3 linked regions of the Cricetulus griseus genome follow. The protein of the gene in region 3 purifies or fractionates together with the protein of the main gene of each other region. This does not show direct contact. Links are inferred from orthologs where the notes say so. Each region holds a gene or a part of one and is shown on either strand. Other genes may lie near its edges.

Evidence for each region. Proteins that work in one complex are often made in the same cells at the same time.
Region 1: the proteins of Hnrnpa2b1 (region 3) and Hnrnph3 fractionate together in Homo sapiens (co-fractionation; 3 studies listed by BioGRID and IntAct, with this or other methods). This does not show direct contact. The link is inferred for Cricetulus griseus from reciprocal best matches to the Homo sapiens genes HNRNPA2B1 and HNRNPH3.
Region 2: the proteins of Hnrnpa2b1 (region 3) and Hnrnph1 purify together in Homo sapiens (affinity purification with mass spectrometry; 5 studies listed by BioGRID and IntAct, with this or other methods). This does not show direct contact. The link is inferred for Cricetulus griseus from reciprocal best matches to the Homo sapiens genes HNRNPA2B1 and HNRNPH1.

Annotation. Positions count from the first base shown.
Region 1 is NW_023276806.1:273,843,646-273,847,259, reverse strand, and holds part of Hnrnph3 (heterogeneous nuclear ribonucleoprotein H3), read right to left. Parts: intron 1,110-3,614; exon of another isoform or gene 1,107-1,109; 5' UTR 1,085-1,106; coding exon 973-1,084; intron 485-972; coding exon 346-484; intron 1-345.
Region 2 is NC_048600.1:64,841,068-64,844,678, forward strand, and holds the end of Hnrnph1 (heterogeneous nuclear ribonucleoprotein H), read left to right. Parts: intron 1-158; coding exon 159-218; coding exon of another isoform or gene 219-248; intron 249-309; coding exon 310-399; intron 400-1,103; coding exon 1,104-1,196; intron 1,197-1,601; coding exon of another isoform or gene 1,602-1,651; intron 1,652-2,239; coding exon 2,240-2,358; 3' UTR 2,359-2,992; downstream 2,993-3,611. UniProt on the Homo sapiens protein: This protein is a component of the heterogeneous nuclear ribonucleoprotein (hnRNP) complexes which provide the substrate for the processing events that pre-mRNAs undergo before becoming functional, translatable mRNAs in the cytoplasm.
Region 3 is NC_048601.1:89,866,022-89,870,239, reverse strand, and holds the start of Hnrnpa2b1 (heterogeneous nuclear ribonucleoproteins A2/B1), read right to left. Parts: upstream 2,886-4,218; 5' UTR 2,672-2,885; coding exon 2,666-2,671; intron 83-2,665; coding exon 47-82; intron 1-46. Other genes in the region: translation initiation factor IF-2-like, read right to left, coding at 3,499-4,218. UniProt on the Homo sapiens protein: Heterogeneous nuclear ribonucleoprotein (hnRNP) that associates with nascent pre-mRNAs, packaging them into hnRNP particles.

The DNA.
Region 1 (3,614 bases), on a different chromosome or scaffold from region 3:
AAATATTTAAGTTTTACATAGACAAATGAGTAATTTGAAAACACTGAATTATGAATATATTTTTAATTTGTTTCCTTTAGCACAAGATAGGTACATAAGAAAAACAGGTGATTATACAAAATTTAATGACATCCTACAAAGAAATGGAAACAATCTAAGTTTAATTTAAACTATTAGCATTAATTTCCCCACCCAAATCTGTAGTTTCCATGTTAAATTTAGGTAATTATCAATTCTTTAATACTACCCCAGAAAAATGTTATGGTTACCCCCCCATTTAAGCAATAGTGACCCACAACCCCCAAAAATAAAAATTTAACACCATCCCAAACTCTCCATCCCCACCTGTGCCCTATTCTTTCCTTGTGTTTCCCCAGAGCATTTTCTGCTATCTCCTTTGAAGCAAACTGCACGAAGGCCTCCCCTGTGCTTCTCCCCTGGTAGTCCATCGTCAATGTTATCCCATTTGGCACGATTTCCAACCCTTTAACCCAAGGACAAATACCCCATCAAGGGGAACAGTGTTAAAGGCTGAAACATTCCCATCTGAATCAAATATTTAAAACAAGTCTAAACATAACAAAACAAAACGCTTAGTTCCCCATCACCCCATAATACAAATGGAATATTTTTCAAATATCATTGGATTAAATATTTTCTGTGATCAGTGTCTTAAAAATTATAGTTCTAAAAGCCCACTACATGAAAAACTACATTATCATTTAACTGTGCTCCCAAGGCTAACTCATAACCCACGTCATCAGTTATTCTCAATTAACTATATTGTACAGCAATCATCGTTTACATAGCCTACACATTCTCTACTAAATATTAACTGGAGCACATTTTCCATTTTATAATATAACCCAGATTATCACAGAAGACCCCAAAAATGAGTTTTATAAATTAAAAAACATCTAATAAACACATACAATTAAAATATTACTAAACTTTGACTAGTACTAGAGGTACCTTGGAAGAACTGAACTATTTCCTCTTTGCTGCAACCAAATGGCAGTCCTCGAAGCCGCACTGTCCCATCACTAGCGTCATTTGGACCATTATGTTTCATAACCCAATCCATTTCAATACGCTTGACTTAAATGCTATGAAATAAACAAGCACATAAAGCAGTCAATCACAACACATTCTTACCATGACTTGAACACCTCTCACAAGTATCCCAGCACAGAATGCATGCAAGCCGACTCCTACAACAACCAGCAACACAGTACTAACACTCTATTTTGGGGTGGGGTAGGGAAAGGCAATGAAACTCACCCCACTCCTACCAAACATCCCTGAAGGTCTAATAAAAGCTTGCTGAATTCTATCATTTGGGTTGTAGAAAACCCTGCCTCGAAACCACAGGAAAACAAGTAAAAGGCGCCTCAAAACCAAATGCTATATGGAATATGATAGTAAGTACATGCCCAAGATCTTTGTACTTGGGAGCTAAGGCAGAAGGATTGAGTTTGACGAGCTAGGACTACAAGGAAACTACTTCAACAAACATTCAGATGAGTACCTTTCAACAGTAACATTTGGGGAGGTGGGGGTGTTAAGACTTGGTGACCAAGAACCAGGCTGGTTTTGAATCACAAGACACCTGCCTGCCTCTCTCAGCCCCAGAGTGCTGGAAATAGTGTCACCACTATACATACCTCCCCCCCTTTTTTTAGTCAATCAGATTTAAACACTTTACCCAAAGACAGCATATTAACACTCACATGGTATTTAAAGAGAACAGCATGAAGCCCCCTCTATCCTCCAAGGAACACACAAGCTAGCCAGTTCCATTCCCTAGAGGCAGCCACTTTCCTTCTAAAATTCCAGAATATTTTTAGAGACTAATGCAGAAGTTCTGAAGCTGTGGAAACTTACCAGCCCTTGCTTATTTCACTACACAGATGTGGGAATCCTACTCACCTGAATATTCCAATCTTTCCCTCACCACCTCCTCCCCTGTCAACAAAACAATTTTTTAAAATGATTCCTTTAGGCTTGAAGCTATATCAACACCATTCACTAATGGTTAATTCCATATCATCAGTTAGAGGTGGATCTACAGAGAGTTAATTCTAATTTTCTTAAAATCATATGGTAGCACACTATAACAATCCTAGCCCTGGGAGGTTGAGACAAGAGGTTCAAGAGTTCAAGGCCAGACTCTGCCCTTAAAAATAAAGCCCTGGCTGTGGTAGTGCACACCCTTTAATCCCAGCACTCAGGAGGCAGAGGCAGGGGGGATCTCTGTGAATTTGAGGCCAGCCTGGTCTACATAATACGTTCCAGGACAGTCAAGCTACACAGTGAGACCCTGTCTTGAATGAATGAATGAATGAATAAATAAATAAATGTAAAGTTAGAGCTTGGAATAGTGGCAGAAATATGCATTCAACGTCAGCGTAGTCTACAGAGTTCCAGGACAGCCAAGGCTATACAGAGGAAAAATGTCTCCAAAAAAACCGGGGTTGGGGGGGGGGAGTGGAGAGAAGGGAATAAATTTCTTCTAGAATTCATGCATCAACGAACCCAAGGATATAGCTCAATGACAGAATGTCTACCATGTGCCAACCCTTGGATTACATTCTAAACATCTTTCCCAAATAATACATGCATTAAAGTAAGCCAATCTTTAATTTCTCCTCTACATGTGTATATCATCAGCATGTGTTTTGTGTGTACTCGTGACTGAACCTTAAACCCTGCTGAAAGAAAATCCAGACCCATCTTTAAAAGCCCATGGAAAGTACCACTCTTGGTAGAACCAAAATGGTGAAAACACAACTTAAAAACTGGCATTATAACTAAGTCTTCGGTGCATTTGCTTTTAAAAAAGCACGAGACCCTACATGGTAGCACATGTCTTTAATTCCAGCATCTAGGAGACAGTGATTTCAAAGTCAGCCTAGTCCACATAGTGAGACTATCTCAAAACAAAACAAAAACAAACAAAAAAAAACCCAGCATGGGGTTGAATGGCTCACTAATTCAAGCACCTTTCAATGGCTTAAAACATTTAATTTCTGAGCCTGTTATTCACTATTACATACAACAGCAGTAGTTGCTGGGTGGTAGCAACATCTTTGATCCCAGCATTGGGAGGCAGAGGCAGGAACTCTTGAGTTCCAGGACAGCCTGGTCTATATAGAGTTCCAGGATAATCAAGGATAGAGAAACCCTGTCTCAAAAACAAAACAGCAGTAGGTCAGTGAGGTATTGGCACCCACTGCTGTATTTTACAAGAATACTTATATTCTATAGTTCTGCTTTCAGATGAACATTCACCTTTGACAATTTGACTTTATGGATCCTATAAAGCAGTGGCTCTCAACCTTCCTAATGCTTCGACCCTTTAATACAGTTCTCATGTTGTGGTGATCCCCAACCATAAAATTACTTTTGTTGCTACTTCATAACTGTCATTTTGCTACTGTTATGAATCGTAAATGTGTGTTTTCCAATGGTCTTAAGTCAACGCACAGGCTGAGAACCACTGTTGTAAAACCAGTAAGATACTCAACAAAATCTCAACTGTATCTGAAAGCCATTCAGTCCTGAAAAGAAACAAGAAAATATTAAAGGTGTTTTGATGTCTAATACCATTCTAG
Region 2 (3,611 bases), on a different chromosome or scaffold from region 3:
TTCCTTAATTGATAGTGTTTTAAAAGCTAGTTCTTAAGTTCTAACATGGGAGTTTTCTTTTTCTTTTCACCAAAACATTTGTGATTCACAAGTTACTTTTAAATTGCTTGTTTTCTTTTACCAACAAACATTTTCAAACTTTTTTTTTCTCATTTCAGAACACAGATATGTAGAACTCTTCTTGAATTCTACAGCAGGAGCAAGCGGTGGTGCTTACGGTAGCCAAATGCTAGGAGGCATGGGTTTGTGTAAATATCACTTTAGTGTCTTTTTTTAAGCTAACCTTGTATGCCTTTTCTCTCATTTCAGAACACAGATATGTAGAACTCTTCTTGAATTCTACAGCAGGAGCAAGCGGTGGTGCTTATGGTAGCCAAATGATGGGAGGCATGGGCTTGTGTAAATATCGTTAGTTTTTTTAAAAACCAAAACATTTATATCTGTATAAGTAGTTAATAAGCTAAGTTAATATTATAATTAGCATAAGAGTTTGTTACCATAATAATTTTAAGCTACAATAAAAATATTAAGTTAGCAAACAAATTCAGGCAAAGTAAATTTTGTAATTACTATATTAAATTACTAAAATCTTGTAAATAACATAAACCTGCTTAGGATAGCTTACTTAAAGTAGATACAAGTACTTTTGTTTGGGGGAGGGGACTATTGATTGTGTTATAGTATCTGTCTATAAAGTGTAAGTTTAAAATACTTAACAAACATAAGGTTTAAAATTTTTATTTGGTAACATAATTACTTGGGCATAATTAACTAGGTGTTCATTGATACCTGTATAATATCTAAATATATATCAAGCTAAGGGGGAAACCCCACTAAAGTTTCATAAGATGATCAAAAAATGCCTCTACTTAGTGAATCATGTGTACTTAGTCCTCAACCCTTTGGTTTATAAACACTGAGCTAGCTAAAATGATGAATATAAAGGTTAATATGGTCATAGACAGTCTTGTCATAGACAGTAGGCAGGAGACAGTAATTTAAGATCAAGACTGGAAAATCGTAGACATAGAATTACAAGCCCGGTACCACCAGGTACCACATTGGATAAGGAGCAAAGCTCTAATGTTCTCTTAACTTAACAGCAAACCAGTCCAGTTACGGTGGCCCAGCCAGCCAGCAACTGAGTGGTGGTTATGGAGGTGGCTACGGTGGCCAGAGCAGCATGAGTGGATATGGTAAGTTTTTTTTTATATACCTAGAGTAAGTTTTAGGTTGGTTTGTCTAGTTGGGCTCCTTTTGAAAAGAGGAGGGGTATTAATATGGTTTTTATTACAATTCTTATTAGTATAATTTACAGAAAGTCATTGGGAGGAGGGGGATGTATCCTAGTAATTGCAATTTTGGAATATTGTCAAGGCAGAAAACATCTCTGTTCGTTTATTAAAATAATTAGCTTGCTTTTCTGTTGTAGCATTAAATTTTTTGGAGGGTAATTTTTAAATATTAGGCTGGTGGTTGGGTTCAGGACAGTATTTTACTAGTCGGTTAACCTAGGGATGGTTTTATTTATTTTTTTTTCAATTGGTCTAAAGAATGGTGATTTTGGTATTATAGTCTTACCCTACAAAATCCTTTTGCAGACCAAGTTTTACAGGAAAACTCCAGTGATTTTCAATCAAACATTGCATAGGTAAATATTTTCTCAAAAAATAATTTAAATTCCCAATAGCAAAGACTGATAATGTTGTGATAACACTTTTCTATAGCAGTCAGTGACTCTGACTTAACTCCCTGGAGGCTGCCATTTTGGGCACAGTGAGTTGCCTTTAGTCCAACTTTTGTCCTCTCACTTCTTGCCCACCATGAATAGGCAAAGCAAAAGACTTCCCCTGTGTTCCCTATTCATACACATCATTCGATGAACACATAGTACATGTTTATGGTAAATTTTTAAATGCTTTGTTTAGCTTTAAAAACTTGGAAGTAATTTTGCAATTTTTGAAAAACACTAGTTTTCCTTTAAACTTAAAATTTCCACGTTGATCCTGAAGAATCCACTTAAAATGGTAGCACAAGAGTCTGGCAAGTTGGTACTGCAGAGAAAAGGGTTTAATTGAAATTTGTTTGGAGTCGGGATTCCCTTTTCCCAACATGCTTCTCGCCAATTGGACAGCAGCCATTTGCACTCGTATACCTTTTAAACTTTTTCTTGGAATGTTATTTTATTTGATTGGTTATTTGACACTATTCCTAACTTGTCAAACTGATCTCTTTGCAGGTAGCCAAGGAGCAGTGAACAGCAGCTACTACAATAGCGGAAGCCGTGCATCTATGGGCGTGAATGGAATGGGAGGGATGTCTAGCATGTCCAGTATGAGTGGTGGATGGGGAATGTAATTGATTTTGATTGATCACTGACTCTTGGTCATTTTTTTTTTTAATGGAAAAAAAAAAACCTTCAGTTTAACAGTTTTGCAATCCAGCCTTGTGATTTATGTCTACTCTCTTAAGTGAACATTGGCATCACTCAAAGGACTAAGGTTCAATGTTGAATATAGTCACCTAGGATGATGATACAGTGAACTATAACTGTTAAACAATTCCCAGCTTTTCTCTAGTTACTGTAGGATGTGTGTAAGCAGTAAGCGTATTTAGGTTAAAGCAGTTGAATTATGTTAAATGTTGCTCTTATACATACATTACATTGAACACTGTTGATGCATGTTGAAAAGACATGCTTTTTTGTAAAACTCTATAGGAGCTGCGTCTACAATTAAAAGTGAAACATTTGGCATGTTTGTTCTAATTTCATTTGATAAACCTGTAAGGCACGTGAGTTTAAAGCTTTTCTCTTTTTTTTTAAGTTGATGGAGAAATTTTGAGACGCAATACCATTACTTTAGGATTTTTGGTCTTGGTGTTTGTATGAAATTCTGAGGCCTTGATTTAAGTCTTTCATTGTATTGTGATTTCCTTTTAGGTGTATTGCGCTAAGTGAACCTTGTCAAATAAATCTTCCTTTTAAAAGCTACACCTTGTCGTATCTGTGCTTCAGTGTCATGTGATCTTTCTTTGGTGCTTTATTCCTACCTGGGGTCATATTCCATGTCTCTGACTATGATAGAAAGGCTGGGCTACATAGAGAAACTGTGTGTGTTTTGAGACAGGGTCTCTAACTGCCCTGGTTGTCCTGGAACTCCATAGACCAGGCTGGCCTCAACTCAGATCCTCCTGCTCTGCCTCCCTGGTGCTGGGATTAAAGGTGTATATCAACACCACCCTGGGAGAAAAACCTCGAAAAATAAAAACAGAACCAAACAGAAAACCCAATAACTTGGAGACAAGGTCTTACTGTGTAGCCTTGGCTGGTAGAAGTAAAAATTCCTACAAGTAGCCTCTGAACTTCATTTGTAAGATGGTATATCCATATAGACAACAAAAATGAACCTTAAAAAAGTTTAATGCTGGACATGGTGGCACATGCCTTTAATCCAAGCACTAGGAAGGCAGAGCACTAGGTAGGAAAGAGATCCTCTGACCTCCAAAGTAATGCTGTGGCTTTACTGACTAGTCTGCCACGCTCTGGCTCTGCACATTATATGCTTAAATGTTCCTCTGTTCAGGCTGGAATTTGGTGTCAAAACTTGATG
Region 3 (4,218 bases):
CAGGAAATTAAATTCTTAAATATGAGGTGACCTGCTGGCAGAGTACCTTTTTCCTCTCCAAAGGAACAGTTTCTAAAGTTTTCTGGGGGGAAAAAAAAAACTTACATCAAATTTAAACCATATGTTAAACTGCATATTAGTTGTGTTACACCAAAAATTGCCTCAGCTGAACTATGCAAGTTTTAAAGTCACTAATATTTGATCTAACTTTAATTCATATAAATTACCTTAGCTTACACTTTCTTAAAAACCTTTGAGAAAAACCATAACCAACTCTGATTTAAAGGGTATCAAAGAATTCTTATGAAATTCTTTATTAAAGTCTACAACTCAAGCACAGAACTTTGCTCAAACTTATTTTTTTAAATTGAAAAAAAAAAACCCTGAAATTTCGATATCCACTGCTTAATTCAGGATTCAATTTCAGAGTAGTGGCAGATCTGCCTTTCCTTAAACTGCCCCCCCACCCTGGAGTTAGACTAACTATTTCAATGGGGGATCCTTCAACTCTGAAAGAAGTTCCATGAGTAAAGTTGAACACCAGATATACGCACCACCTCAAAATAGTTTTCTTTTAACTTAGCAAAATTTATTCCATCTAATTTTTTGGGAGGCACTCCTTGTCTGGTGTTCAGGCTACAGTACTAAGAAGCACACATTTATCTACAGTTGCTATTGCCCCAACAGTTACTTTACATTTTTTTTGGAGCCTATCCTGGCACTCGCTCTGGAGACCAGGCTGGCCTCGAACTCACAAATATCCGCCTGCCTCTGGGATTAAAGGCGTGCGCCACCAACGCCTGGCTTAACTTTCCTTTTAGTAATTAGTGGCCTTCTGACAAATCTCTCAAAAATTTCCAATAGTAATTTCCTGAAGTAAATACTAAAGTTGTGTTATTACTGACTTATAAATAAAACAGCTTAAAAACCAAGATGCTTATAAACTGGGTAATACTATCCAGGACCTGTCTTGATTGCATAACAAACTGAAAAGACAAAATTCATAACACACAAAAAATTTCCACAACTCTTATTACAACCCAAATCTATTAAGGTTCCTTCAAAAAAAGTCTGTAAAAATTTTGTTCGATGCCCTTTCTCAGGTTCTGAAATTTGGAGAAATTGAGTAGACAAAATAGGTTAAAGATTAAAATAGGACGTGTAAAATACTTAGTATGACTGGAAATCCAAGTTTCCAGGCAATTCTAGATAAATGTCCACAGATGTGCCATCTTTAAATTCAAACTGTAAGCATAAACTTACCATTTTTAATGTCACTAACAAAAAGCAAAAGCTTATTACTTACCTCATAGGTTTTTCCAAACTTACCCGACGTCCACTATCGATTATAAACAAGGTTATTTTATAAACGTGCTTAGGGTCAAAGAATATAACCAAGTAGACCCCTTTAATTTGAAACCTTATGCTTATCAATGTAATAATCAACCATTTGCAAACATAAATCAGAAAAAAGCAAATGACAAAGTTCAAATACATTGTGTCCCAAATAAAAGTTTTTACATAGCTAGGTTCCTGCGTTAATACTGGACTGTTCCATGCTGTAATCAAAGGTGAACTACGAAAAGTTATTTTCTCTTCCCTAACGTGACCATCACGCGTAAAGATCTGTTGTTTTAGGAACAAATCCTGTGGTTCCCTTTAAAATCCTCATAATCTGAATTATTTCAAACATCAGGATCCTTCAGGAAAATAAACATACGCAGCAATAAAAAAATATCCCTCCGCCCAAGATCACCTTCTAACTACAGCTGAGCACTCTGGGCTTCCTTTTACAACTGCAGACTCACAAATCGCTTAATTAAAGGAATTAGGAGCCAGCTCGGGGAAGTAAAATGGTTTCTTTGCTGCAAGGCTGCCTTCAGCAGCAGGCTCAGGCCCGGATCGCACTCCTCGCCCGGGGCCTGCGCCGGGAACCCTTGCGGAGGCCGCCGCCACCCCCACCCGGCCGCGCACACCGTGTGGCTCGGGAGCGCAATGGCGCCATTTCGTCGAGGGGGAAGGAGGGCGGAGCGCCTAAAACGAGGTGCGCAGGACTCCGAGATCAGAGCTCAAAACACCCCAGATCCCCCTCGGAACGCCACCAAAACGGGCCGGGGACAAAGGAAACCAGCTAATGGCTCCCACGCGGGGGGGAAGGGGCCGAACGGGCAGAGCCGCAGAGTGCGGGACGCGAAAAACCGCTGCGAGCAAGGAGACGGGAAAATGGCGGCCGCCAAATCCGGTTCCCGGGGGGGAGGAGGGAGGGAGGGGGAGGGAGCCGCGCAGAGCCGCTCCAGGGGACCCGGTGGCCGCCCGAACGAACGCTCCGCCGCGCACACGCCCCGGGCCCCGGGGCCCGCGCACGGCCCGCGGGGGAACCAGGCCGGCCGGGCTCCCGCGCCCCTGCGGAGGACGAGCCGCTGGCCGCGGCCGGGCCCCATCCCCCACCCGGCTCAGGGAAATGGCGCCGGGCGGCTGAGGGCGGGGAAGGCGTTCGGACAATCGGGCCTCCGCCAACGACCCTCTCAGAGCCCCCGGGCCAACCGCCGCTCGGGCGGCCGCTCTCCCTCCCTCCGCCCGCCCGCCCGCCGCGGCGGTGGCCGGCTTCCACGGCGGCCTCGCCATGCCCTCGCCAACAACAACTCATTGATTTCAAACCCGTTACCTCCATCGCGGACTCAGTCGCTTCAGCCCGATTTCCCGCAGCCGAGCGAGATGAGAAAGACCTCCGCGGACGCACACGCACGGGACTCGTCCTGACGCTGTGGGGGGGGAAGAGCAGCCGCCGCTCGAGAAACCGCGCCGCGGGGGAAAGACCTGCACACAGGACCCGGCGCCGCTGCTACTGCCGCTGGAGCCGGGACCGCCGCTTTTCTAGAACCTTCCCCCCACTAACGCGTCTCCGCCTACGTCAGGCCGTTACGCAAACGTCCTAACCGCCGCCAATGGCGGGAAGGGCCTCGACACGCCTTTTGCGCCGGGTGCGTGCGCCCTCCCCCTCCCGGGATAGCGAGGCCGCGTTACGTCACTTGCGCAACCGCGTTTGGTGAATTGCGGAAGGCTCGCGCGCCCAACGTGTTACTACGTCCGGAGTGAGGTCCGGCCCTCCCCCCCCACACCTCCGCGCAAGGAGCCGGAGAAACGGTCGCGCAGTTTGAAATTAACGCTGCCGGGCGGGGCTTGCGTCGCCGCTCAGGCGTGAGGCCCTCGTCACCCCGGCCGCACTCCCTGCGGCGACGACGCCTTCGCCGATCCTCGCTGCGGGCCTCTCGAGGCGCGCCGGCCTTTGTTTGTTTGTGCCCGTCCCCCAGGGGGGGTGCAGTCCGAGCGCGGCTGCCGCGGCGGCACCCGAGGCCCTGGGACCCCCGCGCCCCGTGAGAGGCGGTGCTCAGAAGCTCCCCAGCCCCGCAGGCCCCGGGGCGAGGAGGTGGGCGGAGCCCGGCTTTGGCGCGCTGGGCTTTGACGCAGAGCGGCCTCGGCGGTCCCGCCCGCCTCCCCTCAGGAGACCCCCAAGGCGCCACGCCGCGGACGGTGAGTGGCGCGCACGCCGCCCCCCGCAGGACGCGTTCCCGGCGGGCCCCGCGCGGCCTGGGCGTGGGCGGTGCCTCCCCTCCCCTCCCCCCCGGCCGAGCCGCCCGCGCCCGCGCCCCGCGCCCGCGCCCCCTCCCCTCGGATGTGGCTGAGCTGAGGCGCGCAGCCGGGAGACTCTGCAGGATCCGCGCCCGGAGCATCTGAGCGGTGAAGTCGGTGCCTTGCTTTTCTGGTCGCGCGTGGCGCAGCGCGGCGCGGCGCGGCGGGGCCGGGGATGCTCCGTGCGCCCGGCTTCCCTGCGGGGAGGCTGCGGGCCCCCGCGCCCCCGCCGTGGGCCCCCGGGACCCGGGGCTGCTGCGGGGAGGAGGCTTGGCGGGGCCTGGCTGAGGCGCCGCCGCGCCGCGCCGCGCCGCGCCGCGCCGCTGCACGGGGAGGACGGCACAGTCGTGCCGAGGGTGGGAGAGCGATGACAGCTGCGGGGCCTCCAGACAAAGCGCGCGGGTCCCCTCCCCCAGCCGCGCCGCGGCCGGCGGGCGCGGATAACGTTAGAGCCGCCGCCGCCGCCGCGAGGCCCCAGGCCCGAGCTGCAGCGCGCTCCCCGCTACGTGGCGGCCGCCGGAGGGGGAGGCGTGCGCTGCTGGCGCTGCCCTTGAGCCGCCGCCGCCTCCTTTGTTTCTCCCCGCGGAG